Macaca mulatta: one gene and its partners. The protein of the gene in region 2 purifies or fractionates together with the protein of the main gene of each other region. This does not show direct contact. Links are inferred from orthologs where the notes say so. Each region holds a gene or a part of one and is shown on either strand. Other genes may lie near its edges.

What was found.
Region 1: the proteins of SIKE1 (region 2) and STRN4 purify together in Homo sapiens (affinity purification with mass spectrometry; 3 studies listed by BioGRID and IntAct, with this or other methods). This does not show direct contact. The link is inferred for Macaca mulatta from reciprocal best matches to the Homo sapiens genes SIKE1 and STRN4.
Region 3: the proteins of SIKE1 (region 2) and STRIP1 purify together in Homo sapiens (affinity purification with mass spectrometry; 3 studies listed by BioGRID and IntAct, with this or other methods). This does not show direct contact. The link is inferred for Macaca mulatta from reciprocal best matches to the Homo sapiens genes SIKE1 and STRIP1.

What each region holds. Positions count from the first base shown.
Region 1 is NC_133424.1:59,196,028-59,206,133, reverse strand, and holds the end of STRN4 (striatin-4), read left to right. Parts: intron 1-718; coding exon 719-894; intron 895-985; coding exon 986-1,033; intron 1,034-1,437; coding exon 1,438-1,559; intron 1,560-3,080; coding exon 3,081-3,251; intron 3,252-3,422; coding exon 3,423-3,563; intron 3,564-4,032; coding exon 4,033-4,131; intron 4,132-4,300; coding exon 4,301-4,387; intron 4,388-5,650; coding exon 5,651-5,820; 3' UTR 5,821-5,886; intron 5,887-6,081; 3' UTR 6,082-6,903; downstream 6,904-10,106. Other genes in the region: PRKD2 (serine/threonine-protein kinase D2), read left to right, coding at 10,066-10,106. UniProt on the Homo sapiens protein: Calmodulin-binding scaffolding protein which is the center of the striatin-interacting phosphatase and kinase (STRIPAK) complexes.
Region 2 is NC_133406.1:125,468,823-125,479,487, forward strand, and holds the start of SIKE1 (suppressor of IKBKE 1), read left to right. Parts: upstream 1-5,588; 5' UTR 5,589-5,649; coding exon 5,650-5,808; coding exon of another isoform or gene 5,809-5,820; intron 5,821-6,041; coding exon 6,042-6,147; intron 6,148-6,971; coding exon 6,972-7,114; intron 7,115-10,114; coding exon 10,115-10,228; intron 10,229-10,665.
Region 3 is NC_133406.1:130,156,774-130,167,374, reverse strand, and holds the start of STRIP1 (striatin-interacting protein 1), read left to right. Parts: upstream 1-4,594; 5' UTR 4,595-4,608; coding exon 4,609-4,788; intron 4,789-8,155; coding exon 8,156-8,225; intron 8,226-9,076; coding exon 9,077-9,151; intron 9,152-9,567; coding exon 9,568-9,702; intron 9,703-9,790; coding exon 9,791-9,911; intron 9,912-10,601. UniProt on the Homo sapiens protein: Plays a role in the regulation of cell morphology and cytoskeletal organization. Required in the cortical actin filament dynamics and cell shape. Part of the striatin-interacting phosphatase and kinase (STRIPAK) complexes.

The DNA of each region.
Region 1 (10,106 bases), on a different chromosome or scaffold from region 2:
CTGTGGCTACTTTGACCTGCCCCTAATCTGCGCCTCTCAGGGGTGGCAGGAACAAGCCATGGTGTTCCCCTGCTCTAAACAGTTCCTCAGCTCATTTCTCCCAGGCTTTTTCTTAGTGTGAAATGCGCATTCCTCCGGGGCTCACCACCCAGTGCCTGCCTCATCCCCTGCCACTCTCCTTGCTTCCGCAGCCTGTACCACTGACCTCTCAGGCCTGGGCCCGTCCTTGCTGCCTCAGTGCCTCAGGGCCTCTGCACGGGCCCTTTCCCTCACCAGGGCCCTCTCCTTATCTGGTGAGGTCCTGCTGGCTTGTGCTTCCTCAGGAAAGCCTCGGTGGCCCCCAGGGAGGAGGGCAGGCTGCCCGATGTCTCTCTGCGCATCTTTAATTCATTGCCCTGCTCATGGCTTATGATCCCACACACTTGTGGGATGGTCCAGTTGTGTCCCTTATTCCCCTTCGTCTCAACTGCAAGACCCCGAGGGGTCAGGCTCACCTTTGTCTCTCCAGAGCCCAGCACAGTGTGGGGACTTGTTGGGCGAGTGTGGAGACTCCGCCCAGCAGAGGAAGGGGAGAGGTCCCGGCTGGAGCCCAGGCTCTGAGGGCATTCCTGCCAGGGTCATCTGGGTGGAAGGGAGGGGGCCTCAAGCCCTGGGTGTCAGTGTCTGCATGACTGCTGGATGGATGCAAAGACACTGAGGCGGCTCCCCCCAACCCCAGCTGTCTGACAGCAAAGATGCTTTTAAGAAGACATGGAACCCCAAGTTCACCCTGCGCTCGCACTACGATGGCATTCGTTCCCTGGCCTTCCACCACAGCCAGTCGGCTCTGCTCACCGCCTCCGAGGACGGCACGCTCAAGCTCTGGAACCTGCAGAAGGCGGTCACAGCCAAGAAGTGAGGGCAGCAAACTCGGCCGCGGGTAGGGGCATCTAGGGATGGGAGTGACAGGGTCTCAGTGACATCAGGCTCCTCTATCATCCCACAGGAATGCGGCTCTAGACGTGGAACCTATCCATGCTTTCCGGGCTCACAGGTAAGGAGGTGCCCCTGAGCCTGCTAGAAATTTCGTCCTAAACGCAGCCTGACCCCTGACCCACTCACTGCCATCCCGGGAGGCACATGGCAGGAGGCAGAACAGCAGGGGCTCTGAGTCCCCGCGCCCCTCCATGATATACACAGCCCTGGCTCCTGGGGCTCCATGCTGACTTTCACATACCCTGGCAGCTGGTGCTCAGCACAGCCCTTCAGGGGAGGAGATGGAGGTGGGCTGGGGGAGGGCAGGGGACAGGTAGCTTGTCCAGCTAGCATGGCCAGAGCCCCAGTCACTGAATTCCTTTTGGCCATCCTTGAAGAATGCTAGTAGGAAACTTTGGTCCTGTGGCCAGGGGAGGCTCTGAGCTTGTCTCATCCCCCTTTCCATATCTTTGTCCCTTCCAGGGGCCCAGTGTTGGCTGTGGCCATGGGCAGCAACAGTGAGTACTGCTACAGTGGAGGGGCAGATGCCTGTATCCACAGTTGGAAGATTCCAGACCTCAGCATGGATCCCTACGATGGCTATGGTGAGGACAACGCCGCCTGCCTTCCCCTCACATCCGCTGGGGCCTGGCCGTCCCCTCCACGCACGCACACGTCACGTCCACTTCTTGCCCAACACTGCAGGCCTCGGGAGTGCATGTGATGGCTGCCCCGTCTGCTGTGTTGTGAGCAGCACGATGTAGTGCGTGGCTGAGGGACGAGCCAGCCAGGCTGGGAACGATGGCTGTGGGAGGGGGTGGTGAAGCTGCCTGAGAATCATGTGAGGTGGTGTCCAGAAGGCAGAGCTGGGACCGCCCAGGCTGGGAGCAGCCCATGCACAGGCGTGGCTGGCCCTGGCAGCCTCTGCTCTGCCATGCCGTGTGCTCTGTGTGTGGGGATCCACGAGCGTCTCTGCGTGGTTAGGGGGAGGGCATGTCCAGAGAAAGCAGAGAAGGTGGAGTTAGCTGGGCCAGGCTGGAGGGAGTTGGGGCTTTCTCTTTGGAGCATCTAAGACCTAAGTAGGGAAGTGACCAGACTGTCACTCCTGTTCAACATCTGTCCTCCTGCTCTCTGCCACAATTTTTTTTTTTTTTTTTTTTTTGAGACAGAGTCTCGCTTTATCGCCCAGGCTGGAATGCAGTGGTGTGATCTTGGCTTACCTCAACCTCTGCCTCCTGGGTTCAAGTGATTCTCGTGCCTCAGCCTCCTCAGTAGCTGGAATTACAGGCATGCACCACCGTATCCAGCTATTTTTTGTATTTTTGGTAGAGACGGGGTTTCATCATGTTGACCAGGCTGGTCTCGAACTCCTGACCTCAGGTGATCCACCTGCCTTGGCCTCCCAAAGTGCTGGGATTACAGGCGTGAGCCACTGCACCCGGCTCTGCCTCCTCTTGATCATGTACCTGGCCCTGTGCTCGACCTTGTCCGGACAGAGTTCAGAGGTCTTTGTGTCCTCTCAAGGAGAGGACAGACTTTAGAGAACAGGCTCACCTGCATAAGGTCAGGGTCGGTCCCAGCCACATTAACCACCACACTTTCAGTGTCAGCAGGCCAGAGCTGCTGGTGTGGACTCCAGCGACCAGGGAAGCAGTGGTTGGACCTCTGAATGACCAAGGGGCTTTGGAGAGACCAGGCAAACTCATGCACTGGGTCACGGGCTGAAAAGACTGCTTGGGCCAGGGCTGGGACCAACGCTTGGCCAGCACAGGCCGTGTGCCACTCCTGGGACCACAGAACCATACTGTTCCTTCTTCCTTAATGGAGTCCAAAAAATTCTGTATTGAGTTCTCAGTTTCTGGGCCCTGCTTGGGGAGACAGCCATGAATAGAGGGAAATCCCTGCCTTCTGGAGCCCTAGAACCTTCCTTGGAAAGCTAGTGGGCAGTGTGAGCAGCTGCCGGGCTGTCCTGGTGGTGGACAGTTCCAAGGGGCAGCAGGTGTGAAGCGGGTGCATGGGTGATTGGAGCCCAGCCGCCTGGGGCTTGGCAGAGCTGGGGCTCTGGGCTGTCCAGGGAGGAGCTGACATCCCTGACACAGCCCATTTCCTCCCTGTGGTGGGTGCAGACCCAAGCGTGCTGAGCCACGTCTTGGAGGGCCACGGGGATGCCGTGTGGGGCCTGGCCTTCAGTCCCGCTTCCCAGCGCCTGGCCTCCTGCTCCGCCGACGGCACCGTCCGCATCTGGGACCCCAGCAGCAGCAGCCCGGCCTGCCTCTGCACCTTCCCCACAGCCAGCGGTGAGTGGGGCCCTGAGTGGGGGCCCCAGCACCTTACCCTGGAGCTATGCAGGGCTGGAGGCTATCAGAGTGGTTCCCGCTGAGGCCCCAGGCCTCCCACCCACAGTCTCCCACCCTGGGGCAGGGCTGGGTCTGAGGGTCCGTTCAGCCTTCTCTTCCCTGTGCCCTCAGAGCACGGGGTCCCAACCTCAGTGGCCTTCACCAGCACCGACCCTGCCCACATCGTGGCCTCCTTCCGCTCTGGCGACACTGTCTTGTATGACCTGGAGGCTGGTGGTGCCCTCCTCACGCTGGAGTCCCGGGGCAGCAGCGGTAAGGGGGCTGACATCAGCTCAGGGAGTTGGTCTCAGTGTCTTGCGGGCCCCACTTCCTCCTGGGGCTTTGGTGACCCCTTGCCAGTCAGCTCAGATGACTCCCCTGCACCCTTGGGCCCTGAGCAGGAAGGAAGTCGGGTCCCAGTGGAGGGCCCCCCGCCCTCACAGCCAGAGCACTGGGGGGGCCGAGTGGGGAGAGTGTGTCAAGGCCACTTCGTCAGGCCCTCTTGGTAGAGTGGCGGAATGTGTTCATGTTTGTTATTCCTCTTCCCCCAGCCCCAAAACAGGGCCCAGGGGCTGCTTGTGCAGAACCAGCACTGCGGTCAGGGATGGGAGTGCCCTCGCCCAGTCCCCCTCGACATCCAGGCAGAGGCTGCCGTGGGGCTGTCACGCTGCACTCATGCCTCTGTTCCAGTCTTCCTGATTTTCCCCTTGACAGCCTTCCCTCTTCCTGCCTTTTCCTTCAGGTCCAACCCAGATCAACCAAGTGGTGAGTCATCCAAACCAGCCTCTCACTATCACCGCCCACGACGACAGGGGCATCCGCTTCCTGGACAATCGGACAGGTGAGGCCTAGCCCCTTGTGCTCGCGGTGGGTGGGGAGGGCCAAAGGCAGGCAGCAGAGATGCTTGTGTCCCTGTGGGAGGCTCTGGGAGCGTCTCCTCCAGTCCTTCCATTCTCTCAGTCGAGGCTCAGAGTGGGAGGGAAACCTGCCACCCGCCCCTCTCGCCTCAGGTAAGCTGGTGCACTCCATGGTTGCACACCTGGACGCAGTCACCTGCCTAGCCGTGGACCCCAATGGCGCATTCCTGATGTCAGGAAGTAAGTTGGGCACACTAGTTGCACCAGGGTTGGGGAGAAGGGGAGGAAGAGGCCTGGGCACTGGCTCCAGGCAAGTGTTCAGTGGGCCCGGGGGCCAGGGCTGGGGGAAGCTGGTCTGGGCAGGAATGACAGTGGTGACCATAGAGGGCAGGGGGCAGCTGGTCTGGGCGGGAATGACAGTGATGACCATAGCGGGCAGCACAGCCCACTGGGGCACTCCTCTGGGGCACTGGAGCTGCATCGTCTTATTCGGCCACTAAGCAGCCTGTGCGGTTGGTACTTTGATCCCCAGTTTACAGATGTGGGCCCTGACGCCCTGACGCTTTGTAACTTGGCCATTGAAGCTTCGTAACATCAGTCCAGGTCTACCTGGGGGTACCTGCAGGGACTTCTGTGCTCCCACCCTGCTGTCTGTGGATAAGGGCATTGAGGCCAGCAACGCGGCTGTGCTTAGAAGGGATGGAATGGGACGTAGGTGGGTGGAGGAGACTGGAGGTCGCTGTGGGGTGAAGGGTGAGGCCTGCAGTGAGTGCAGCAGTGAGTGTGTGTGTGCACAGAGGCGCAGGCTGTGGTGTTGGAGGCTGTGGCTGGGCTTTGCCTCTGGGCCTGTGCTGGCAGCCTCTGGTGGGTGAGGGGCCGGTCAGTGAACTCCAGCCCAGTGCCCAGACAGGGCTCTGTTCTGGGGGCCACTAGACAGTGGAGGGAGCTAAGCCTTTGCCCTGCCTGATCCTCTTGACCCTAAATCAGACCTCTCCTCACCAGGGCCCTACCCAGCCTGCTGTCCTCTCCCCTCTTCTCCCCAAGCCCCTGCTCAGGCTCTTGTGGCCACCCCCGCCTCCTGCCTCAGGACCTTTCCCACCTGTCCTTTTGCCTGGAAGGCTCCCTGCATTCCTCCTGGGGCCATTCTGTCCTCACACTGAGCGGCTGGGTTGCTTTCTTCTTTCTCTTCCTGTCTCCCAGCTGCAGCGTCAAGGCTGCGGGACAGAGAGAGTTGCCTGTTTTGTTCACTGCCCGCCCCTCCGCCCCGGGGCTCAGTGTGCAGTAGCTGCTCAGGAAATGCTGGGGAACGAGATGGACTGTGGACAGGAAGGGACCAGGGTTCTCCTTTGGGTGGGCCTCAGGAGGTGATGAACAGAGGATGAGAGAGGAGAGTTGAGCCCCACTTCCCCTGAGGCCTTTGGACAAGGCCAGGTGAGGGGTTCCAGGACTGCGTCTGAGTGAGGAGCCCGGTGACCACCCCTTCTGCCCCCGACCCCTGCTCAGGCCATGACTGCTCCCTGCGTCTTTGGAGCCTGGACAACAAAACGTGCGTGCAGGAGATCACAGCCCACCGCAAGAAGCATGAGGAGGCCATCCACGCCGTCGCCTGCCACCCCAGCAAGGCCCTCATTGCCAGTGCTGGCGCCGACGCCCTGGCCAAGGTCTTCGTATGATGCCCACCTGGCCCTGCCCTGGCCGCCACACTGGCTAGGGTGCGGGGCCGGGCAGGTGGGGCTGAGGTGAGGGCAGAAACCCCGCAACCTGAGTCCCTACACATCCATGCCTGGTACTCCTGAGTGTGCTGAGCCCCGCAGTCCAGTCAGGCGTCCTGTGAGAATCACTGGGGAAGTCCTGGGCATGCAGGGGAGGGGCTGAGGCCTGAGAGGTGCCCTAGAGACGGTGGCTCAGTCTCCTCTCCCTTCTCTCTCCCGCAGGGGACTCCCAGCCTCACTGGAGGTGCAGAGGCCTGGCCTCTGTTTGCCGTGGAGCCTGGTGGTGCTAACGGCCCTTTCCCCAGGAATCCCTCCCCCAGGGCTGCCTTCCCCAAGCATTTAGCCTGGGGATGGGCCCCTTTCAGGAATCACCCCTGAGGATGGCCTCGGGGTTTCCCCCTGTGCCCTGACAGCCACTCCTGGTATCAGAGCTGCCTTCCAGAGGGCAGCACAGCCAGGCTGGGTGTCTTTAGGGATCACTTTTTCCAAGACTCCAGAAGGTGCCAGGTTCTCCCCCTTGAGCTCCTGCTGCCCCATCCCCCATCCTCCCAGACCTGGGCAGGAGCTGTGCTGGGAGAAAGGGTGGCAGCCGGAAGCCTCGGAGCTGAGCCCCGGCCTGGCTGCCCCTCCCCTCTGGCCCTCTCCACTGCTTTCCAGACACTAACCATGGCCTCCAGGCCAGGGATTGCCCAAGACTCCTAGGGCAGCCCTCCCAGCGCCCCACGGGGTCGCCCATGGGCAGAGATGGCTTTCTTATGCCCCTCCCTGGGGCATGGAGGGTGGAGGGGGCCCCTGGGTCCCCCTGAACTCCCTGTATATCTGTATAAATAACGGGATTTTCATGGCGCTGCCCCACCCACGTTATCACTGTGTGATGGTCTCAGTCAGTCTCCTCCCTGCCTCCACTCTTTCCTCTATTTATTTCACTCTTGTTTGGTTCTACCGTGCACTCTCGGTCCCCTTCCAGGTTCCTGTTTATAACCCCTATCCCCTCTGCCCCCATCTTGTATGTGAAAACTTGTCTCAATAAACCCTTTGGAGTAAGATGGGTGACGGTGCCATCTGTTGAGGGGACTGGGGACTTTGGGGGAGGAGTGACCGGCTCTGCCTGGGTTGAGTGGAGTTTGGAGAGAGGGGATATGATGGGTTGGGGTTTTGTGGTAGGGCAGCAGGGGACGGAGAGGGGCCCAGAGCTTGGGTGGGGTGTGGGTGGAGAGCAGAAGTGGAGGCACTGGACCGAATCTCCTTGTGCCCTTTCTTTCTGTCCCTAAGTGCTCCCTCCCCAGGGGCAGAGCCCTGGGGAGCAGATACTGTGATGACAGTTCAGCTGAAGCCTCAGCCCTGCCTGGGATGTGTGATGGGTGGTGGTGAGGCCAAAGGGCTGGTGCCCAGAGGACATAAACCCCCTTCCTGTTTCCCTCCCAGGCCCACAAGGAGCAGGGAGGGAAAGGCTGCTCCTGCCAGTGGAGAAGGATGGCTTTGGCACACAGGCCGAAGGCTCCTCCATGCTAGGAGGAGGTGCTGCAGGTGCCCGAGCTCTCGTGGCGCATGTCCTGATGAGTCCCTCCTTTCTGTTCTCAGTAGTCCATGTCTACTGTGCTGAGCGCTTTACATGGCATTTCACTGGGTCCACAGCCTTAAAAAGAGGGAACAGGTGTCCACATGCTCCAGATGAGATGGAGGGGACCGCCGCTCCTGTCTCCAGGAGGAGGCTTCCACCACCTACCAGCTAGGCGTCCTCAGCTGTCCTAGCACCTCTGCCACAGGCCACTAATGCCCTCTTCCTGGGTTGTAAAGGGCTGTGTCCCCAGTCCCCCAGCAGGCCCCAGTGAACATACCAGAAAGGATGGAGGTCGCTGTCTGGACACTGGGGACATGGCAGCGTTTTGCTGGGACAGTCATCTCCCCCTCAGGAAAAAGGGTGCAGGTGGGCAGGAGGCCCTTAGGTGACGCCAACAGGAGCCTGCGTGGGCTCCACGTGGTGTGCTCCCTGCTCATCCCTCTGGGCTCGATGCAGTTCCCCAGGTGGTGGTTTGGGTTTTCACTCCAGCCTCAGACTTCCTTCCTCAGCCCCAGTCCCCGGATGTGGTGACAGAATCGATACTGTACCGACCTCAGCTACCCCCAACGGCCCTACACCAGGAAGAGGGGCTCTTCTGGCAGCCCCCATCCTCAGCCAGTCCTGCCATTTCCAGTCCTGCCAGCATCCCAGCCAGACAGGTGGCCCCTCTCTTAGAGCTCAAACCGAGGCCTTGACTTGTCAATCAAAGGGGTGGGTGGGGCAGCTTCCCTCAAGCAACTTCACTCTGGGATCTTGGGCAAGATCTCTGAGGCTTCAGCTTACTCTGTGTAAACACAGCTTACTCTGTGTAAACTACATGGTAGCCACTATTTGATGATTAGCTGGGGAGAAGAGATCAAGCCTGACCCCTGTAGCGGCTGGAGTTTTACGGCAGGGTCCATCCAGCACCCAGTAGGTCCTCACAGATACTTGCTGGGTGACTAAATGGACGTGCCCACCCATCAAAGCCTGAGTGCTGGAGGTGGCCACCCTTTTCCGCATATTAGAGACAATCACCGCTTCTACTGAACTGCTGCGTTTCCAGGCACCTGTATACAATCGCATCGGTTCCCACCATCCCATGTGGGGTAAGTCCTATTACAGTCCCAACAGATGGAGGGACTGAGGTTCACAGAGAAGCCACTCACCTAAAGTCACATGGAGAGAAAGACACGCACACGTACTCCACATCCCCAGGAGACTCACTCTGCATCTATGAAGTGGTATGGGTGTGCTGTCCTCCCTCCTGGCAGCCCCGCACCGTCCTAAGGCGGGGTTGGGGTGGGGGGGGATGGACCCTCCCCACCCATCCAGTTAGCGCCATGCACCTTGCCCAGCAACGCTGGAGACAGACCTAAGGCGAGCCCTTCCTACCCATCTGGAGACCTTGGTCTTTCCATGTGTTAAATGGGCTGGGGCGGGGGGACGCTCTGCAGCACCCCCTTCCCTGGGCTGGGACGCGGCGGGGAGGGCTGGGGCGACGCTCGGAGAACAGAGAGGCCGAGCCAAGGGAGCGGGCCGGGACCTGACCCTGATTTCCCACCCTGTCCACTGTCATGGGCGCCGGACGCCTGCCGGAGAGGGCTCCCCTCCTTAAAGGGCCAATGGTCTCCAAGCCCGACGCCCGCGACCGGCGGTGGGTGACAGTGTTTCCCCTCCCTGTCCAGTCGAGGGAAAAGTTAACTCTCCAGGCTTGGCTGTGTTCAGGGAAGGAACTGGTCTCGCCTGCCTGCCCTCCATCTCTCACACCATCCCAGGTCCCCGACCCAGGAGGCGGAGGTCCAACCCCCAACTCAGAGGCACCAAGCCCGCCCTCCCCTTCCGCCCCCGGCCCCTGGGTAGGCTCCGCCCCCTCGTGACGTTGCCGAGGCCCGCGCCGATTGGTCGACTGCGCCGTCGCTCCGGACACTTCCTCCTGGGCCGCCGCCGCCGACTTAAACTTTGGAGGGGGAAAAAGAGCTACTGGCTCCTGGCGACCCTCCCTGCCCCCCACCCTACCCCGCCGCCGGCAACGCCCCCTTCCTCACGGCTCCCGACCGAACTTTTCTCCAACTTCTGCGATTCGTGAGATTCCCTTCTACCCACTCCGGCCCTCGGGACCCCTCTGCCCATCCCCGGGCCAGTCGGGTCCCTGCTAACCCCTTTATTTCTGGGATCCACTTGGTCCCCGACTCAGAGACTCCTGCCTCCACCCTCAAGGTGAATTCCCCCGGGCCGCCTTCTGAGTGGGATCCTCTTCTTGGAGCACTGGTTCCTGGGATTCCCTCTGTCCCCTTCTCAATCCGTCCTCTAGGGAAGGGGCCTTTGAATCGCGGGCTCTCCTGATCCCTGTGACCCTTACCTACTAGATTTCCTCTTGGGCTTCTTGGAATCTCTCAATCGCTGGGACCTCCAAACCACTACTTTTCTCCTTTCTGCTCTGCTGGGAGTCCTGGATTCCGGGCCTCTGACCCGCTACAGTGCCTTTCTCTCCTTCCCAGGACCCCGCCATCCTCAGGTCCCCTCCACCTGCCAGATCTTTTCTTGGATCCCCGCGCTCCCACCACCTGCTCACGAGATCCCGCGGATCTAGGACCCAGGGTCCCCCGGGGCCCCCCGGCCGGGTCCCGGGTGGGCGCCAGGCGGCCGGTCCCTGGCTTCCCCCCATGGCCGCCGCCCCCTCTTTTCCCGCCGGGCTCCCTGGCTC
Region 2 (10,665 bases):
GGATACAAAATTAATGTGCAAAAGTCATAAGCATTCCTATACACCAAAAATAGACAAGCAGAGACCCAAATCATGAGTGAACTCCCATTCACAATTGCTACAAAGAGAATAAAATACCTAGGAATACAACTTACAAGGGATGTGAAGGACCTCTTCAAGGAGAACTATAAACCAATGCTCAAGGAAATAAGGGAGGACACAAACAAATGGAAAAAAAAAATTCCATGCTTATGGATAGGAAGAATCAGTATCATGAAAATGGCCATCCTCTCCAAAGTAATTTATAGATTCAATGCTATTCCCATCAAGCTACCATTGACTTTCTTCACAGAACTAGAAAAAACTACTTTAGATTTCATATGGAACCAAAAACGAGCCCATATAGCCAAGACAATCCTAAGCAAAAGAACAAAGCTGGAGGCATCACGCTACCTGACCTCAAACTATACTACAAGGCTACAGTAACCAAAACAGCATGGTACCGATACCAACACAGATATATAGACCAATGGAACAGAACAGAGGCCTCAGAAATAACACCACACAACTACAACCATCTGATCTTTGGCAAACCTGACAAAAACAAGCAATGGGGAAAGGATTCCCTATTTAATAAATGGTGTTGGGAAAACTGGCTAACCATATGCAGAAAACAGAAACTGGGCCCCTTCCTCATGCCTTAAACAAAAATTAACTCAAGATAGGTTAAAGACTGAAACATAACACCCAAAACCATAAAAACCCTAGAAGAAAACCTAGGCAATATCATTCAGGACATAGGCATGGGCGATGACTTCATGACTAAAACACCAAAAGCAATTTCAACCAAAGTCAAAATTGGCAAATGGGATCTAATTAAATTAAAGAGCTTCTGCTCAGCAAAAGACACTATCAGAGTGAACAGGCAACCTACAGAATAGGAGAAAATTTTTGCAATATATCCAGCTGACAAAGGGCTAATCTCCAGAATCTAAAAGGAACTTAAACAAATTTACAAGGAAAAAAGAAAAAGAAAAAACCCCATCAAAAAGTGGGCAAAGGATATGAACAGACACTTCTCAAAAGAAGACATTTATACCTGGTGCAGTGGCTCACGCCTGTAATCCCAGCACTTTGGGAGGCTGAGGTGGGCAGATCATGAGGTCAGGAGATCGAGACCATCCTGGCTAACACCGTGAAACCCGGTCTCTACTAAAAATACAAAAAAAAAAAAAAAAAAAAATTAGCCGGGCATGGTGGTGGGCGCCTGTAGTCCCAGCTACTCTGGAGGCTGAGGGAGGAGAATGGTGTGAACCCAGGAGGCAGAGCTTGCAGTGAGCCGAGATCTCACCACTGCTCTCCAACCTGGGGGACAGTGCGAGACTCCAACTCAAAAAAAAAAAAAAAAAAGAAAAAGAAAAGAAAAGAAGACATTTATGGGGCCAACAAACATTAAAAAAAAAAAAAAAGCCTCATCACCACTGGTCATTAGAAAAATGCAAATCAAAACCACAAGGAGATACCATCTCATGCCAGTTAGAATGGCAATCATTAAAAAGTCAGGAAACAACAGATGCTGGCAAGGATGTGAAGAAATAGGAACGCTTTTACACTGTTGGTGGGAGTGTAAATTAGTTCAGCCATTGTGTAAGACAGTGTGGTGATTCCTCAAGGATCTAGAACCAGAAATTGCATTTGACCCAGCAATCCCATTACTGGGTATATACCCAAAGGATTATAAATCATTCTACTATAAAGACACATGCACATGTATGTTTATTGCAGCACTATTTACAATAGCAAATATTTGGAACCAACCCACATGCCCATCAGTGACAGACTGGATAAAGAAAATGTGGCACATATACACCATGGAATACTATGGAGCCATAAAAAAGAATGACTTCACCTGGACAAAGTGGCTCATGCCTATGATCCCCAGGACTTTGGGAGGCTGAGGCAGCCAGATCACCTGAGGTTGGGAGTTTGAGACCAGTCTGACCAACATGGAGAAACCCTGTCTCTATTAAAAATACAAATGCCTGTAATCCTAACTACCTGGGAGGCTGAGGCAGGAGAATCGCTTGAACCTAGGAGGCAGAGGTTGCAGTAAGCTGAGATTGCGCCATTGCACTCCAGCCTGGGCAACAAGAGTGAAACTCTTGTCTCCAAAAAAAAAAAAAAAGAAGAATGAGTTCATGTCCTTTGCAGGGACATGGATGAAGCTAGAAACCATCATCCTCAGCAAACTAACACAAGAACAGAAAACCCAACACCAAATGTTCTCACTCATAAGTGGGAGTTGAACAATAAGAATGCATGGACACAGGGAGGGGAACATCTCACACTGGGGCCTGTCGGCAGGTGGTGGGCAGGGGGAGGGACAGCATTAGGACAAATACCCAATGCATGTGGGGCTTAAAACCTAGATGATGGGTTCATAGGTGCAGCAAACCACCATGGCACATGTATACCTATGTAACAAACCTACATGTTCTGCACATGTATCCCAGAACTTAAAGTAAAATAAAAGTAAAAATAATGAATGATTCCCTAGGTTTAAATAAGGTTTTCCTAAGGTATTGGTTTACTCTTAATGAAATTAAAGGAACTTTTGCTTTTTAATTCTATCACCTATTTCTTTTCAAAACTTCTCAGATTCATATCTTAGACGTTCAACTTTTGTTGTGCCTGCTGTTTTCAGCTTTTTCCTCCCTTTGAAAAGGACTCTTCAACTTTTTCCATCAGCTCCTCTAATTTTTTCCTCTGATTCCAACTGTTGGGGCCTGATGCTGAAATGTTTTATCTTAGAATTCTATAAAAGCATTGTTTTCCTCCAATATAACTTGATTCTGTACTCTTGGCTTTTCTTGATAAGTGTGATTTTCATTGTAATCAGAAAACTTCTGACACAATTGCTCAGAGTGGTGTATTCCCTTGCTGTACTCATAATCGTGAATACGCTCTTGTGTCTGATTAAATTCAAGCACTTTTTTCAAGTCTGACTTTCAGGTTATCTGCATGGTCTTCCCATAAGGAGAAGCAGTCACACAGCAGAAGGGGTTTTTTGCCTGTGTAGTAACTTGCTTAAGAAACAAGATTTTTATGTTTTATCAAGATAATTCCCATGCTCTCTTTAACTGGTTTTTAATTGCCTAGAAAAACTGAGAGTTAAAAGGGTTCGGGTTTTTATGTGCAGGTAACCTTCTGAATTGCCTTTAAAGTCTTTAATTATCAGTTTGGTTAAATGAGTAACCATTTAACCAAATTTATTAATAAAAATAAATACATTATTTTTACAATGAATATTATCCTGTTTTGATCAAATGTTTTGAGACTTTTGAAATCTTTGACAGATGTCCTCAAAATCAAAATCATAAATTAAGTCTCTGACTTATTGCTAGGGTTTATCAAAGCTATAAAAGTTACTCACTGCAAGGTTGTAAAATCTTTTTACAGCTTTCAGTCAGGTCATAGACTCCAGTATCACACCTCCAGCTCCTTGAAAAGGTCCTTATCAGGTGATATTAACTAATCCTTGTGCTTTCAAGTTACAGGGCTTTACACATATCTCATCCAAAGAAGGCACCAACTCCTGCCAGTATCTGACACTAAACTGCAGTTAACCAAAGCCTCATCTTTAGACTCAGGCAAAGGCGACAAAGTAAACTGCTTTCATGAGACACAGGGACAGTCTTGTGTTCAAAAATATTAAGATTCACTTAACAATTTTGCCTCTATCTGAACTAATGTAATGTATTCTGTGCCTTGATAGTAAATAATTTAAGTGTTTAGCTCCGTATGAACTTTCTTTCCTGTTACTCTCAAAACTAGGCAGGGTTTATGACCTTTGTGTTTGAAAAGTTGTTAATTCTTTCTGTTTTGTTTTACCTACAATAGTTGAAACTCTTCAATCCCCTCAGGCCTAGAGACTATAACATAATGTTGTAAGGGCCAGTATTGAGGGCTAAAATCAGTTCAGACCCTACAAATCAAGGATGACACACAGATGCCAAAACAGCTGAACAAAATGCTTGCATTTCATATAGCTAATTGCAGCAAGCCAAGATTACAGCAGCTCAATGCATAGAATTTATAGATAAGTCAATTTTGTAACCTTGCCTTTTGGTTTTTGGTTTTTGGCTCTTAACATTGCTTAAGAGGAGTTTTAAGGTTAATGAGTGCCTGCCCACCTCCTTCCCCATCTGGCCTAGAATGTTTAATTGGCTGTAACTCTTTTGACTCTAAGTCGGTTGGCCGCAGGAGTGACATGATGGACTCAGGGCAGGTAGCACACCACCCTGGCATTGATATGGGACAAAATTAAAGTTTGGACACTGATACTGTCTCTGGGATACGTTGACAAAAAAAAAAAAAAAAAAAAGCGGAATGCTGTTTTGAAGGCATGAGTGTAGCCATTCCCCATCTGCGAGCGTTTGATTAGTAAAACTGCTTTCCTTTCATCATCAGTCACTTCTCATGATTTTGGCCTCTAGGCAACAAACAGCCAGACGTGAGCCAGTTGTAATAGCAGCATTATTTACAATAGCAAAAGGCGGAAGCAACCCAACTGTCCAGCGGATGAATGGATAAACAAAACGTGGCATATACATATTATTCAGCCTTAAAAAGGAAGAACATTCTAACATATGCTACTGTGTGGATGAAACTCGTGGACATTACGCTAAGTGAAACAAGGCAGTTATATGAATATAAATGCTGTATGATTTCACTCACGTCAGGTACCCAGAATAGTCAGATTTGTAGAGACAAAGTAGAATGGTGGTTGCCAGGGGCTGGGGATAAGGAAGAATGAGGAGTTATTGTTTAAAGAGTGCAGAACTTCAGTACTGCAAGACGAAGGAGTTCTAGAAATGGATGCTGATGGTGGCTGTATAACCATATGAATATACTACTGAACTGTACACTTAAAAATGGCTGAGATATTAAATTTTATGTGCATTTTGCCACAATTTTTTAAAACTTAAATGAAAGTAGGCCAGGCGCAGTGGTTCACACCAACACTTTGGGAGGCCGAGGCAGGCAGATCACTTGAGGTCAGGAGTTCAAAACCAGCCTGGCCAACATGTGAAACCCCGTTTCTACTAAAAATAGAAAAATTAGCCGGCATGGTGGTGCATGCCTGTAATCCCAGCTACTCGGGAGGCTGAGGCAGGAGAATCGCTTGAACCCGGGAGCCATAGGTTGCAGTGAGCCAAGATCGCGCCACTGCACTGCAGTCTGGGCGACAAGAGCAAGATACCAAGATACCGTCTCAAAAACGAAAAAAAATAAATAAAAATTAAATGAAAATAAAAAGAAAATAACTGTGACTGAATAACAATCCACATCAATGAAAACCAGTGGGGAAAGGAGACCTTCCTTCTGCCCAGCTCATCATGGCCTGACCACCAGGCTGTGGCAACTGGAAACCAAGAGCGTGGTAAGGGCAGGTCTGGGGCTCCGCGTCAGGCAGGACTGCAAGGAAGCCACAGGTAAAAGCGGGTGAACCCGCAAAATAGGGTGCCACTGCGCAGGCGCCTCTTGCGTCTGCCAAGACACCTTTTAAACGTGCCCGGAAGTGACGCCAGTAATGCTGAGACAGACTCCCAGAAGATCTGAGCGAGTCGCGTAGCTGAGCCCGGCAGGGGCTGGGGTTGTGCTGCTGCTATGAGCTGCACCATCGAGAAGATCCTGACAGACGCCAAGACGCTTCTGGAGAGGCTGCGGGAGCACGATGCGGCTGCCGAGTCGCTGGTGGATCAGTCGGCAGCGCTGCACCGGCGGGTAGCCGCTATGCGGGAGGCGGGGACAGCGCTTCCGGACCAGGTCAGGCAGAGGGTAGGAGTCCAGTGCTCTCGGATTCTGGGCACTGAAGGGTGGAGAGCGAGGTAAAGTGGGAACTCGGCCTGAAATTTATTCCCGGTCTCAGAGGGCGGCGGTGAGACCTTTTTCCTGGGTCGGAGCTGAGAATCCTGCCCTAGAGCCCTGACTTCTGCCACTTGAGTTGCATCTGCCGCTGTTCTCTTTAAGGCATGCTTAGACTGTCTCTATTTGTCCAGTATCAAGAGGATGCATCCGATATGAAGGACATGTCCAAATACAAACCTCACATTCTGCTGTCTCAAGAGAACACACAGATTAGAGACTTGCAACAGGAAAACAGAGGTTAGTCAGGCCTTTTCATATCTGGTAATAGTTTAAAGTTACTGCAAAATTGCCCTAAACATTCACAAGGGTGTGCATCTATTTCCAGGTCAGTACTTTTCGTAGGAGAGTCCTCCTGTGCTGGCTCAGTAACAGTAAAGTTTGTTAGATTACCCATTTCAAGGTCATCTGACTGATTTTGTAGCAGCTTACCAAAGAGGGGCTATGTAGAGTTAGAATTATTGCATGGTTTATTTTTAAGCATCTCCAGATGTGTAACAAAAGAGTTCATATCCTCATGGACTTAAAATTTAATGTTTAAATATTAATATAAACACTGAAGGTAAGATTTAAGGTTTTGTTTATGTTCTTGTTTGTGCAAGGTGAAGCAGCAGAATTTTACTCTAAGGGTATATATTCTTAGGCTTGATTAGTACATTATTAATGACTGTAGTATTAATAGTTGTTTACCAGAGGGGTTTCACATATATCATTCTACTGTATTCTCATATCTTCATTTTTATCTATCACAATGCTGTTAAGAAATAGGCTCAGAGAAGCTAAATGATTTACTTATGAGTATTAACCAAGCAAGTTACAGAACTGAACTCAAATCCATGTCTTCTGATGACATATCCGTTGTTGTTACTGCAAGATTTTGCTTCTCTGCCTAGAAAGTTACCTTTAACATAGACTTTAACTGCTCAGTTTTGTAGACTGAAACATTGATTTACAACCTTGGATTCATATTATCTCTATAGTATTGCAAAATTCTAACTGTTAAGACTTTGGATTTGGGAACTGTCTCTCAGACATCACTGCCAAGTTATTTTATTTTTTGACAGAGCTGTGGATTTCCTTGGAGGAACACCAGGATGCTTTGGAGCTCATCATGAGCAAGTACCGGAAACAGATGTTACAGTTAATGGTTGCTAAAAAAGCTGTGGATGCCGAACCAGTCCTGAAAGCTCACCAGTCTCACTCTGCAGTAAGAAACTTCGAATAAATTTGAAATGAACCAAATTGAAATCTTGAGATTGTTTTAGATTGTGTGCTTGTTTTTTTGCTTTTTGAGACAGGGTCTGGCTCTGTCGACCAGGCTGTGGTGTAATGGCACGATCTCAGCTCACTGCAACCTCTGCCTTCTGGGGTCAAGCCATCCTCTCACCTCTGCCTCCTGAGCAGCTGGGACTACAGGTGCACACCACCATGCCCTGTTAATTTTTGTGGGGTTTTTTATTATTATTATTATTATTTTTTTTTTTTTTTGTAGAGATGAGGTTTCGCCATGTTGCCCAGGCTGGTCTGAAACTCCTGGGCTCAAGCGATCAACCCACGTTAGCCTTCCAAAGTGCTGGGATTATAGGCATGAGCCACTGTGACTGGCCATGTGTGCTTGTTTTTGAAGAAAAGTAAGCTTGTTTTCCTTTCATGTTTATCATATTTGTTGTTTATTTTGCCATGGCTTTGTAAAGATATGAATAGAAAGAAGGATAGTGGTTGCTCAGGTCCTTTTATTTGAATGGGACTAACGTTCCCCCTCCCTCACCAAGATCTCTTTTGAAAATGTTCATTAATTCTTAGCCCTCACACCAAACGTAATGTCAGTTAGTGTTGAAGGTGCCCAGTAAATACTTGGTTGGTTATTATACATTTCACTTAAGCTCCTTGGTTGTGAGGCACTTGAATTCACATTTTATTCCTAACATAGTACCTGACATATAGCAAGCAGTCAATAAACCTTTTATAAACTGAACCACATAGCATCATACTATGTTATTAGGGGATAGAAGTATGGTTTTTAAAAAAAACAAACATGGCATAGTTTCTATGCTTTGATTGCTTATTATCTAATTTGGGAGACTCGGTAATTGTTCTTATGTTTGTAGGTGCTTCATGGTTGTCATTGTACATTCGTGTGTACTGTGTCATTTAATTCTAGATGTATAAGTTGGAGCCTACTACTTCTGTGAGATGTAGTGAAATATAAGCTTCATCTTAAATTACATTGAATGCATTTTACTGACTTAAAAGTTTTAGGAAACAGATATTTTAAATATTTGAATGGCTTTCAACTGGAAGAGAAAAATAGATTTTATTTATTCTCATATGGAGGAAAAAACCTGAACTTTGAAAGAGACAGTTTACTCAGATAGATAAACTTTCTAAGTGATATGTCCAAAGATAGAATAAGGCACCTTGGAATGTAGTAAGCTTCCTGCCAGTGAAAGTATTCAAATTTAAGTTAAACAGCCACTTAGAGGTAGTATCCAACATCCAATGGGTAGTTAAACTACAACTGATTTTTTTTTCCGTTTCAAATATTTTTATTGGAGGGTGGACCTATTGGGTGATTGATGCACTGGACATAGATAATTTTCAGAAATGAAAATAACATTGCTTGCATCAGATCAGATTTCACCCACAGAAATGACTAAGGCCTTATCAGAGTTGGCATTGGATGAAAACTTAATCCTTTATGGAAAGGGAATCATCTGGCCTTCTATTTCTGAAATAGACTAAAGATTACTCATTTATTCTCTGCAATTACAGCCATCAGATCCTTTGAAATCTTGGAAGGTGTGAGAAGATAACATGACTGTAACACAAATCCATATCGAAGAGCCCAGTATTTAAAAATTCCCCATGTTCACATACTGAAGGGTTACTTATGAGCTGATGCATATCACTGATAACCATAGGATTATCAACTTGATGTCTGGGCAAAGAGTGAAAACAGAAAATGCATTCTACTCTTCACTTCTTGGTTTTAAATATAAGAAACATTATATATTTGTTTAAAAACTGTATCCCTGGCCAGGCGCGGTGGCTCAAGCCTGTAATCCCAGCACTTTGGGAGGCCGAGACGGGCGGATCACGAGGTCAGGAGATCGAGACCATCCTGGCTAACACGGTGAAACCCCGTCTCTGCTAAAAATACAAGAAAATTAGCCGGGCGAGGTGGCGGGCGCCTGTAGTCCCAGCTACTCGGGAGGCTGAGGCAGGAGAATGGCGTGAACCCGGGAGGCGGAGCTTGCAGTGAGCCGAGATCGCGCCACTGCACTCCAGCCTGGGGCACAGAGCAAGACTCCGTCTCAAAAAATAAAAAATAAAAAAATAAAAACTGTATCCCTTAGTAATGGTATCAATAGAACATATACAACTGGAATGAGGATCCCCTTAAGGAGGCCTTCTTTTTTTTATTTAAGTTCTAGGGTACATGTGCAAAACGTGCAGGTTTGTTACATATGTATACATGTGCCATGATGGTGTGCTGCACCCATTAACTCGTCATTTACATTAGATATTCCTCCTAATGCTATCCCTCCCCACTCTCCCCACCCTACGACAGGCCCCAGTGTGTGATGTTCCCCACCCTGTGTCCAAGTGTTCTCATTGTTCATTTCCCACCTATGAGTGAGAATATGTGGTGTTTGGTTTTCTGTCCTTGCGATAGTTTTCTCAGAATGATGGTTTCCAGCTTCATCCATGTCCCTACAAAGGACATGAACTCATCATTTTTTATGGCTGCATAGTATTCCATGGTGTATATGTGCCACATTTTCTTAATCTAGTCTATCATTGATGGATATTTGGGTTGGTTCCAAGTCATTGCTATTGTGAATAGTGCCGCAATAAACATATGTGTGCATGTGTCTTTATAGTAGCATGATTTATAATCCTTTGGGTATATATCCAGTAGTGGGATGGCTGGGTGAAATGGTATTTCTAGTTGTGGATCCTTGAGGAATCGCCACACTGTCTTGCACAATTGATTTTTTGGAAAAAAAAAAATTATCTGTGAATACCACAAGATCACTTTACTATGGCTTTATGTCTAAGGACTAAAATTATAGTGAAACTCCATTGTAACTTCTGTATCATAGATTAAATGAACTTTTAAAAATCATAATGCACACACTTTTATGTTCTTTATATATAGAGAACAGGTGACTTTTCCACCTTTGTTTCCTTAATATCTTCACAGGAAATTGAGAGTCAGATTGACAGAATCTGCGAAATGGGAGAAGTGATGAGGAGAGCAGTTCAGGTGGATGATGACCAGTTTTGTAAGATTCAGGAAAAATTAGCCCAATTAGAGGTAAGATTGTAGCTATTTTAGGTTCACAGTATTTCAGAGTTTTCGGAGTCTGGAAGATATGCCATCACTATCCCATCACTGTAATATATTAATGTTTTCTGTGTGCTCATGATTTAAAATTAAAACTCCTCCTTCATACTCTTTGATATCCTTTTGAAGAAAGGAAATATAGTAAACAGCAATCAGTGGAAATACCAACTATGTATTGGCAATAACTTGAGATATTATAATGGGAAGGTAGAGGGAGTAGAGGGGAGAAGTTATATGTGAGATAAAATCCTTCATCTGCCATAATAAGTGAAGTAGATAATGTCTAAAATTAATGATCAGGAAATAGCAGTATAAGCATATTATTTAGAATTACAGAATTAAATACCAAAAGAAATAGATAAAAGTGTTAAAACTGGTTGCATTTGGGTTACAAAGCCAAAGAACTG
Region 3 (10,601 bases), about 4.7 Mb from region 2:
GGAGAGAACTCCATGTGACACAGTAACTAGAGGGTAAGACCAGACCCATAAATGTTTTATATGCTATATAGATTACTTTAATATTGAGCATTTCAGTGACTAGCAATGTATTGTCCAGGGCTAGGATGGAAATTGCTAGAAACAGGCTCACTCTGCCTCCCAGCATATACTTAGGTATCAATGAATGTGAAACATGTTACCGAGTACCTGACACGCTGTAGGCACAGAATACATGCCAATTTCCTTCTACAGAGCCCACCTGGAGCAGCCACTATATTCCTGCAGCTCCTGCAATACTAGAATGGCTCAAATATGAAATTTCTTCCTCCAGTCTCTTGAACAATGACTGCTCGTGGTGAAGGAAGGGCTTCTCACCTTGGTTATCACCTCTTGGTAATAATTCTCCTTTATTAAAACAAACAAACAAAAACAAATAATGCTTTATAGTTTTCTTTTTTCTTTTCTTTTTTTTTTTTGGAGGCACAGTCTTCCTCTGTCACCCAGGTTGGAGTGCAGTGGTGCAGTCTCGGCTCACTGCAGCCTCTGCCTCCCAGGTTCAAGCTATTTTCCTGCCTCAGCCTCCTGAGTAGCTGGGATTTCAGGCGCCTGCCACCATGGCTCAAAATGTTACAGGAAAGAGTCTCAATCCAGACCCCAAGAGAGGGCTCTTAGATCTCTCACAAGAAAGAATTCAGGGAGTCCATAGCGTAATGTGAAAGCAAGTTTATTATGAAAGTCAAAGTATAAAAGAATGGCTGCTCCATAGGCAGAGCAGCCCCGAGGGCTGCTGGTTGCCCATTTTTATGCTTATTTCTTGATTATATGCTAAACAAGGGGTGGGTTATTCATGCCTCCCCTTTGTAGACCATCTGGGATAACTTCCTGGTGTTGCCATGGCATTTGTAAACTGTCATGGTGCTGGTGGGAGTGTAAAAGCGAGGAGGACTAGCTGTCACTCTCATCGCCATGTTGATTTTGGTGGGTTTGGGCCGGCTTCTTTACTGCAAACTGTTTTATCAGCAGGATCTTTATGACGTGTATCTTGTGCTGACCTCTATCTCATCCTGTGACTAAGAATGCCCTAATCTCCTGGGAATGCAGCCCAGTAGCTCTCAGCCTCGTTTTACCCAGCCCCTATTCAAGATGGAGTTGCCCTGGTTCACACACCTCCGACAAAAAGGCAAGTGGGATTATTCTCATTTTACAGATGGGGAAGGAAAAAAGAGAAATGCATGAAGACACTTTACAACTTCTACTCTCTACTGGGTTGTGCTTCTCTCAAAGTTTCCTAGCAAGTTGGAGTAGTGAGCTCTCCAGCTGTGCTTCTGCTCCTTCACATTTGGGATTCTTTTTCCTTCCAGATCTGTATACTCTGTCTTATGCATGCCCCATTCCATTAGTTAGCCATTTCTTTTTCAAAAATTTTTAAATTTGATTTTTTTTTTTGGCGGGGGGTAGGGTACAGATAGGGTCTCGCTCTGTTGCCCAGGCTGGTCTCAAATTCCTGGGCTCAAACGATCCTCCCACTTCAACTTCTCAAAGTGCTGAGCTTACAGGCGTGAGCCATGTGCCTGGCCTCTCAAAGTTAACCATTTTCTTATTGGCTATTTCTCAAATTAGGTTAATCGCAGCTTTACACTATTGAAAACACCATTGCCTGGAATATTATTGTACACCTATCTTTATTTAAATCTGATTATTTCCTTAGAATCTATTACTAGAAGTGGAATTATTGAACCAAAACCTTCCCTGTTCTAAATTTAGCTGAAACATGTTTTTCCCCAGGTGACACAGCTTATGATAGGCACAGGAAGATAGATAGGAGGAAATAGCAGTGTGGTAGTTTTGGATTATTTATTAATTTACAACAGAGACTTTTTAAGCACCTACTAGGTTGGACCTCAGGGGAAATCCCTGGAGAGTTGTATCACAGGGACTTTCTGGACTTGAGCCTGGGGTGTAGAGCAGGCAATATGTAAAGCTGGAGAGACAAAGATAGATAAAATGCCTTTAAGGATTTCACAGTATAACAACAGATAATGGTAAGAGCTATTATCACACAACACTTCTAAGATGTCTGATGAGTATCTCGAACTTGATGTGTCCAAAACTGAAGTCTTGATCTTTCCTCTAAACCTGTTTTTCTTACTCTTGGGCTTACTTATTTATTAAAGTGATACAGCCATCCACTCAGTTGCCCAAACCTAGATCTAGGGGGTCATTGTTTATTCCCCCCACCCAGCTGATCAGATTCCAGCAAATCCTGTCCCCCTACCTACACAAAATAGAAATATCAACCCAACGCTCCACTCTGGTGCAAGTACCATCATCTCCATCTACATGGTCCCCTAACTTGTCTTGCCTTATCCACTCTTGCAACTCTCCAATCCCTTCTCCAAAAGCAGCCAGATTGAACTTGTAAACATCACACCATAACATCTCCGTGGTTAACACCCTCGAATGGTTTTCCATTTCACTTAGAATAAAATTCAAACTCCTTCCCACTACCTTCAAGGCCCTGCATTCTTCTGGTCCCTGCATTATCATTATATGGCTCTCATCAACTACTATCCCTCCCTTGGCTCACTCAATTCCAGACACTCTTAACATCAGGGCTTTTGCATTTAGCCGTTTCCTCTGTCTGTGTGCCCTTCCTGGAACTTTGCAGGGCTTCTCCTCACTTCTTTCAGAACTCTTCTAAAATCACACCCTCAGGCCTTCCCTGGGCAGCATGCTTGTATTATAGCCACATTCTCCGCTTCCACCAACCCGTCCCCCGCCCCACTGCCACCTTTTAACCTCTTAATTTTTGTTTCTTCTAACAAAGATTCTCTTCTTTGGCCAAAACTCTAGTCAGGCTCCTGTTAGTCCTCTGCCTGACTAGGCCTAACCCTTTGGGCTTCCCTTTCTGTCCTTGTTGAATCCAGTTTGTGCAAGAACTCTCCACTCTTGGCGTCCTAGTCCATTTTTTGTTGCTATAACAATACCAAAGAGGGTAATTTATAAAGGAAGGAAAGTTATTTTTTGCAGTTCTGGAGTCTGGGGAGCCTAAAGTCGAGGGGTTGCTTCTGGTGAGGGCTTTCTTAAACTGCATGGTAGACAGCCTCTCACGATGAGAGAGCAAGAGCATGTGTGCCAGCTCAGATCACTCGTCTTCTTCTTACAAAGCCACCAGTCCCATCACAGGGGCCCTACCCTGATGATTTTATCTAATCCTAGTTACCCCGTCAAGGCTCCACCTCCAAATACTATCAATATATGAACTTTAGGATTGAGTTTCCAACGTATGGAATTTGGGGGACACAGTCAAACCATAGCACTCGGTATCTGACCACCCTCAACATCTTAGCACCCTGTCCTGCTTTCAGCAATAATCCTGTTAGGTCAGTTTAGCAAGAAACTTCTTATCCTTGATGTTTCTCTTAGTAGTTTTTGTCAGGCCTCTGAGCCCAAGCCAAGCCATCGCATCCCCTGTGACTTGCACATATACGCCCAGATGGCCTGAAGTAACTGAAGAATCACAAAAAACGTGAAAAAGGCCCTGCCCCGCCTTAACTGATGACATTCCACCCCAAAAGAAGTGAAAATGGCCGGTCCTTGCCTTGAGCGATGACATTATCTTGTGCCTGGCTCATCCTGGCTCAAAAAGCTCCCCCACTGAGCACCTTTTGACTCCCACTCCTGCCCGCCAGAGAACCCCCCTTTGACTGCAATTTTCCTTTACCTACCCAAATCCTGTAAAACGGCCCCACCCTTATCTCCCTTCGATGACTCTCTTTTCAGACTCAGCCCGCCTGCACCCAGGTGAAATAAACAGCCATGTTGCTCAGACAAAGCCTGTTTGGTGGTCTCTTCACACGGTCGGGCATGACAGTTTTCCATCCACTGACCCTCATCCTGCTCTTTGGTTATAAATCTCCACTGTTTCTTGTTGGAGTCAGAGTTGAGTCTAATTCCTCTTCTTCACTGCAAGGTCTGGTTGTAGTGGTCCCTGTAACTATCACCATGGGCTCTCTTACACAAAGTCTGCCTTACCATCTTTAATTAGTGCCGTGAACAAATTTTCCTTTAACACTTTTCAGCATTTATTTCTCTGCATTTGTCTATTGTTTGTCTGACTCACCAAGCACTGTTATGTACCATGACTGCAGACACTTGTTCCTCATTTTATCCCACTGCTTGGTGCACAGGAGACATTTATCAAATGTTTGTTGAATGATTAGCACTTGTCACAACTGCAACTCTGTGAACTAGCATCCTATCCATTTTGTTCATTACAAAATTCCGCCTAAGCCTTGAACAAGGCTATCAGTGATAAGTGCAAAGCAATTTAGAGGAAGGAGGGGTAACTAAACCGAAGAAGCTCAGGGAAGCCTCACAGATAAAATTACTTCTAAACTGAAACTGAAAGTTAGGAGGAAAACTAAAAAGATCAACAACGGAAGGGCTGCAGACAGAATATCGCGAGGTGTTGGTCAGCCAAGATGGCTTCTGACACTGGCCGCCACACTTAATATGGCGGCCAGGGAAATTTTCTCGAGAAAATCACGCGAGACTTGCATCACGGCGGTTGTCCCCGAGTCAACCTGGGGGTGTGGAGCAGCCAAGATGGAGCCGGCAGCCGGCGGTCCGGGCCCGCTGATCGTGAACAACAAGCAGCCCCAGCCTCCGCCACCTCCGCCGCCGGCAACCGCACAGCCACCACCCGGGGCACCGCGGGCCGGCGCGGGCCTCCTTCCTGGGGGCAAAGCCCGGGAGTTCAACCGCAACCAGCGCAAAGACTCGGAGGTCAGGAGCTTCGGGGGGCGAGGCTCGCACCCGGGCGGGCGGCGTCGGGGGTCCCGGGCCCGAAGCCACTGTCGGGACCAGGTTGGGCTTCCCAGAGGGCTCGGTAGAGCCCGGCCGAGAACTGTCAGTATACAGCGAAAGGAGCAGGAAGCGAGGCTCGCAGCTCCTGGGGTCGAGGGCATGAAGCTGGGGTCCTTGCTAGAGCTCCGCCGCCCGGGAGACCTTCCGGGAGCCGGCAACTGCTGGTTTGCTCCCTTGGGCCCCGGCTGTGGGCGTGGCCTCGAGGCCCCAGCCCCTGGGGAAGCCGCCTTCGCGCCAGCTCGGGGCCGAGGAGTCGGGGGTCTGGGTGCACTCCAGGGCGCTGGGCGGCCGCGTCCCCAACCTAATCATCTCGGGCCTCTGCCCCTGGCACGCGGGCGCCAGCTCCTGGGTCCTGCCGCGTACAGAGGAAGGCGCTTGTGGGCAGGAAAGGTACCGGCGAGGATCTAGAAGGCAGTTAGAGCCGGACCGAGCTAATTATCACTGAGAGTATTGCGCTGCCGTAGGTTCCGAGAGTAGGAGGAGGAAACATGCCCTGTTCTGACCTGAGCCAGATCAGGCCGTGGGGTTGACAGTGCCTGTGGTGGGTGTTGTGCCCAGTGCGCCTGCTACTGAACTGTTAAAGATGAGAAATAGACATTTTAAGCATTCGTTAGGACCCAGCATTCATTCGTCTCGCCAGTGAGCCGTTCCTGCCGTTCTGGAGATGGCATAGTCTGTAGCTGACTAGTAACCTCACCCCAAGTTAAAGAATTCCTCCCACTACCTCCCTTTGCAGAATTCATGAATGAAGATACTCATGTCACGGCGTTTTAGGGCTTCTTAATCAGCAGGTTCCCAGAGCACTTACTATGCCATCTCCTAGATTGATCAGCAGCCAACCTGATCAGCCAAGTTAATGAGAGGGAATTCCTCATTGTCCAACCATAATGTACCAATTCATACCGAAGAGCGATGATACTATCTTTAGACCTGTGAAATCAGTTCCTCAGAAGCTTTTATTTTTTGTTAGCAAGCCTAAACCCCTGAGAAAACATGTCAACAGTTGGCAAGCCCGAAGTAGACGTAATTTGAGCTTGGAGTGAATTCTTTGAAAAAACAATGACACTGACCTTTTAGGAGCCCTTGCATGGTGGGATGATGGACATCAGTGGTAACTACTCAGTTTTTCAAGTGTGGAAGTTTACAAAAGTGGAGGGGGGTGAACCTACCTTCATCATGAGAGGAGTTATTTTGAAAAATGGTTTAAAATTTGTCTGAGTAGCTATGAATGGTCAAATAAATACCCTTTGACGAATTTTTAATTTCTCTTTTTACCCTTTAATTTCCACATAGCGGACGGGTCCAGTGGCTCAGGCCTGTAATCCCAGCACTTGGGGAGGCCGAGGCGGGCGGATCACCTGAGGTCAGGAGTTCCAGACCAGCCTGGCCAATGTGGTGAAACCCCATCTCTACTAAAAGTACAAAAATTACCCAGGCGTGGTGGCAGGAGCCTGAGACAGGAGAATTGCTTGAACTTAGGAGGCGGAGGTTTGCAGTGAGCCGAGATTGCACCATTGCACTCTAGCCTAGGTGACAAGACTGAAACTCTCCCCGTCTCAAAAAAAAAAAAATTTCCACATAGACTGATTACATGAAAGACCAGTCAAATAGACACATTTAAGCAGAGACCTGTCTAAATCCATTTCTTTAGAGAGGCTGCCGGGCGCGGTGGCTCAAGCCTGTAATCCCAGCACTTTGGGGGGCCGAGACGGGCGGATCACGAGGTCAGGAGATCGAGACCATCCTGGCTAACACAGTGAAACCCCGTCTCTACTAAAAAAATACAAAAAACTAGCCGGGCGTGGTGGCGGGCACCTGTAGTCCCAGCTACTCAGGAGGCTAAGGCAGGAGAATGGCCTAAACCCGGGAGGCGCAGCTTGCAGTGAGCTGAGATCCGGCCACTGCACTCCAGCCTGGGCGACAGAGCGAGACTCCGTCTCAAAAAAAAAAAAAAAAAAAAAGAGAGGCTGATGCCGTGATCTTTCTTTAGTCATAGCCGAAATCGGTAGTTTGGGAGCCTGATCAGTGAATGCCTGGAGGAGAGGGAGGCTGACATTTGATGAGAGCTCACTGTGTACTACATAATTTTGATTAGTCCTTAAAAATCTTCAGAGTAGATTTTCATCATTGCCATTCAATGAGTGAAGAAACTGAAGCTCAATAACTTGTCAAAGTGTACACTGTGTTGTCTCTGAACACAATGTGGAGTTCTTGTTTGTGGGTATGTTTTTTGTTTTGCTTTGTTTTGTTTTGAGACAGAATCTCCCTCTGTCTCCCAAGCTGGAGTGTAGTGGCGTGATCTTGGCTCACTGCAACCTCTACCTATGGGGCTCAAGCGATTCTCCTGCCTTAGCCTCCCCAGTAGCTGGGACTACAGGCACGACCCACCATGCCTGGCTAATTTTTATGTTTTTATTAGAGATGGGGTTTTACCATGTTGGCCAGGCTGGTTTCAAACTCCTGACCTCAAATGACCCGCCCACCTCAGCCTCCCAAAGTGCTAGAATTACAGGCGTGAGCCACCTCGTCTGGCCATTTGTGGGTATGTCATTTTGTGGCTGGTCTTTGTCTTCCCAGGTAGATTGTAATTAAACCTAAGGACTTTACCTATTTGTTTCTCACTTCTCTCTTCCCAGTACAAGCCTTCCAAGATGGTGTGTTCTCAGTAATCACCTATTTCCAACAGGAAAAAGACTGTCTTTGTCACATTCTCTCTTATATGTGGGAGGGAAGTTGATCTGTTTGGCGGTGGCCTTCTTTGTCAGTTCTCACTGAAATTTGAGACAAAGGCGGGGAAAGCTGAGGGTTTCAATACTCATTTTTGTCCTGAGCTGTTGACAGCTCACTAGCCAGAAAGAAGTTAAGACTTCTGGAATCTTAGCATCACATGGAATGGTCATTTACTGCACAAAATACATAGAAACCTTGTATTTGTTCATTTAACAAATATGTGAGTATAAACCATTCATTCATTCACTTATTCATGCCAAATACTATGCTGGACCTTGTGAAATCATTGGTAAGCTAAATGGATGATGTTCTTGTTCTCAGGGAACTTGCAGTCTTGTGGAAAGGCAGACACTAAACACATCCTATAATGATAAGTTATGATAAGTGCTCTGAAGGAGAGGTATAGGATACTCTGAGAGGTTTTAGGAAACAAAATGTGAAAAAACATCAGAAAAGTGGAGGCACTGGTGTCCTGTAACAACAGCATCTCGAAGCATGTGTTTCTTTGACAAACAGCATGATCCTTTTTCCTAAAGCTCTCTCCTCTTGTCAGCAGGGCTATTCGGAGTCACCAGACCTGGAGTTTGAGTATGCTGACACAGACAAGTGGGCTGCAGAGCTCTCGGGTAAGGCAGGGACCTTTGTGTTATTTGGGGGTAGTTTTTTCCTTATTGGTCTTTAAGAAAATTAAGAATGAATATCATTTAGGGCTTCATTGCTTTCCCTAGTTAGTTCTATCAGATAGATATATGTATGTGTATATATATGTGTATATGTGTATATATGTAAATATAGTGCATATATGTATACGTATATATGTGTATATATGCATATATGTGTGTATATATGTATATGTGTGTATATATGTATGTGTGTATATGTATATGTGTATGTATATATGTATATATATGACACGTTAGTTATTTGATTCAAGCCTTGTGTATCTTATAACTTTGTGTTGTCCTTTACTTTTATGAAGCTGACTAGAGCCCAGTCCCATTGTGAGACAGTGATGTTCCTTGGCTATCCACTGTGACCCTGATAGTGGTCTCTCCTCCAGCAATGGGTCATGAGGGATGCCTGCATCTGTGCCCATCTGCTGCTGCCACTGCCACTCTCATGTAATGCGAGGTCGGTGTAAGCTGCTTCTCCAGCCTCTGTAATACATGTCCTGCTCAAGAGGTAGCAGCCACTTGAGAGGCGCATCCCAGGTGGCCGTCAGCCCTGGCATGGCATGGTGGGATGGATGCACATCGGACAGGAAGTGTCCAGATGGCATTCTGGCACTCTGGTTCTCTCTATTGTGCACATTAGAGAACTAAGATCCCCTTCATAATTAGAGAGCTTATTCCAGGAGTCACTATGACTCAGGGCCAGAGTTGAGAGTGGAAGCAAATGCCTTGCCTTCTCTGCACATGTGAGACTTGGTGTGCAATGCAGACATGGAACCAATGGTGATGAGACTTTGTTCCAACAGAGCTTTACAGCTACACGGAAGGGCCAGAATTCCTGATGAATCGAAAATGCTTTGAGGAGGACTTCCGGATCCATGGTGAGATGATTTCCCCCACTTCTTGCTTCCTTTGCCCTGCATGATGAGAGCTGCAGGTTTCTTTTAGGCATCTGAATGACCTGAGTCATCCTTGAACGGCCTGAGAAGCCTGCTGAACCCTGATGGTTCAAAGCCAGATACATGTAGAGTGGGCTTGTGGCACATCCTTGGGGGCTTTTCAGAATGTGCAGATTGGGGGAGAAAAAAAAATTCATGTGATTAAAATTGCGCCCAAAATACCAGCGTTTCAGTTTGGAAATCAAATTCATAGGGCAGCAGTATGATCTTACCACTTACATAGGGGGTAACTTGTCTTTCTGGTCCTATGGCAGTCCTGAAATTGGTGAGTTAACATGGGTCCATGCCATTGTGAATATTTTTCTAGGCTCAGGTGTAACTGGTTTCTTGCCCTGCAGTGACAGACAAGAAGTGGACTGAGCTGGACACCAACCAGCACCGGACCCATGCCATGAGGCTCCTGGATGGCTTGGAAGTCACTGCCAGGGAGAAGAGACTTAAGGTGGCTCGAGCAATTCTCTATGTTGCTCAAGGTATTGAGTGGACCTCCCCAGGATTCCCTAGCACCTCTGCCCACTCAGATGCAGGGAGGGGCTCAGTGAACTGAACCCTGTGTTGCAGGCACGTTTGGGGAGTGCAGCTCGGAGGCAGAGGTGCAGTCCTGGATGCGCTACAACATCTTTCTCCTCCTGGAGGTGGGCACGTTCAATGCTCTGGTGGAGCTTCTGAACATGGAAATAGAGTGAGCATTTTTGAGAGGCTGAGTAGGGAAGGGGAGGCTGGGGTGGGAAGGGGGACACAGCTTGCAGAACTAACTGGCTTTGAGAGGGTTAAATGGGCCACATGGGGCAGAAAGTCTGGTCCCAGGCTGTATTCTGACCACCTGGGTTGAATAATGGAGTTGGTCACTTACACCTTGAAGATTAATGGAGACTAATGACAGGTCCCTGCAGCTCCCTGATGCCAGAATTTTTACACCAGACAGGATAGGCCCTACCCCGGCTTTGCGGGGCTGCTCCTCAGAAGGAGACTCCTCACTTTGAGCTCTCTTTTGAACCTGTAGACTCTGCTGTGTTCGCCCTGCAGTTCCCCGCTTGGCAGGAGGCCAGGCACAAGACTGACACATGGGCTCAACCAGTGCCTGGCCTTGCCTGTGTCACCTTTGTCCAGTGGACAGGTCAGCTGCTGCTCATCTAAGGATAACGCCATCAATGATAATAGCTAAGACCACTCACTGAGTGCCTATGTGTCCCGGGCATTGTTCTCAGGATATTACAGGTGCTAATTCATGTTAAGGATATAGGTACTGCTATCATCCCCATTTTACAGATGAGGAAACTAAGGCACAGTTAGAGCCAGGATTCAAACTGTGGCAGTCCAGTGCACGACTGGGTTTTTTTTGCTTGTTTGTCTTTTGTTTTTTGTTTTTTGG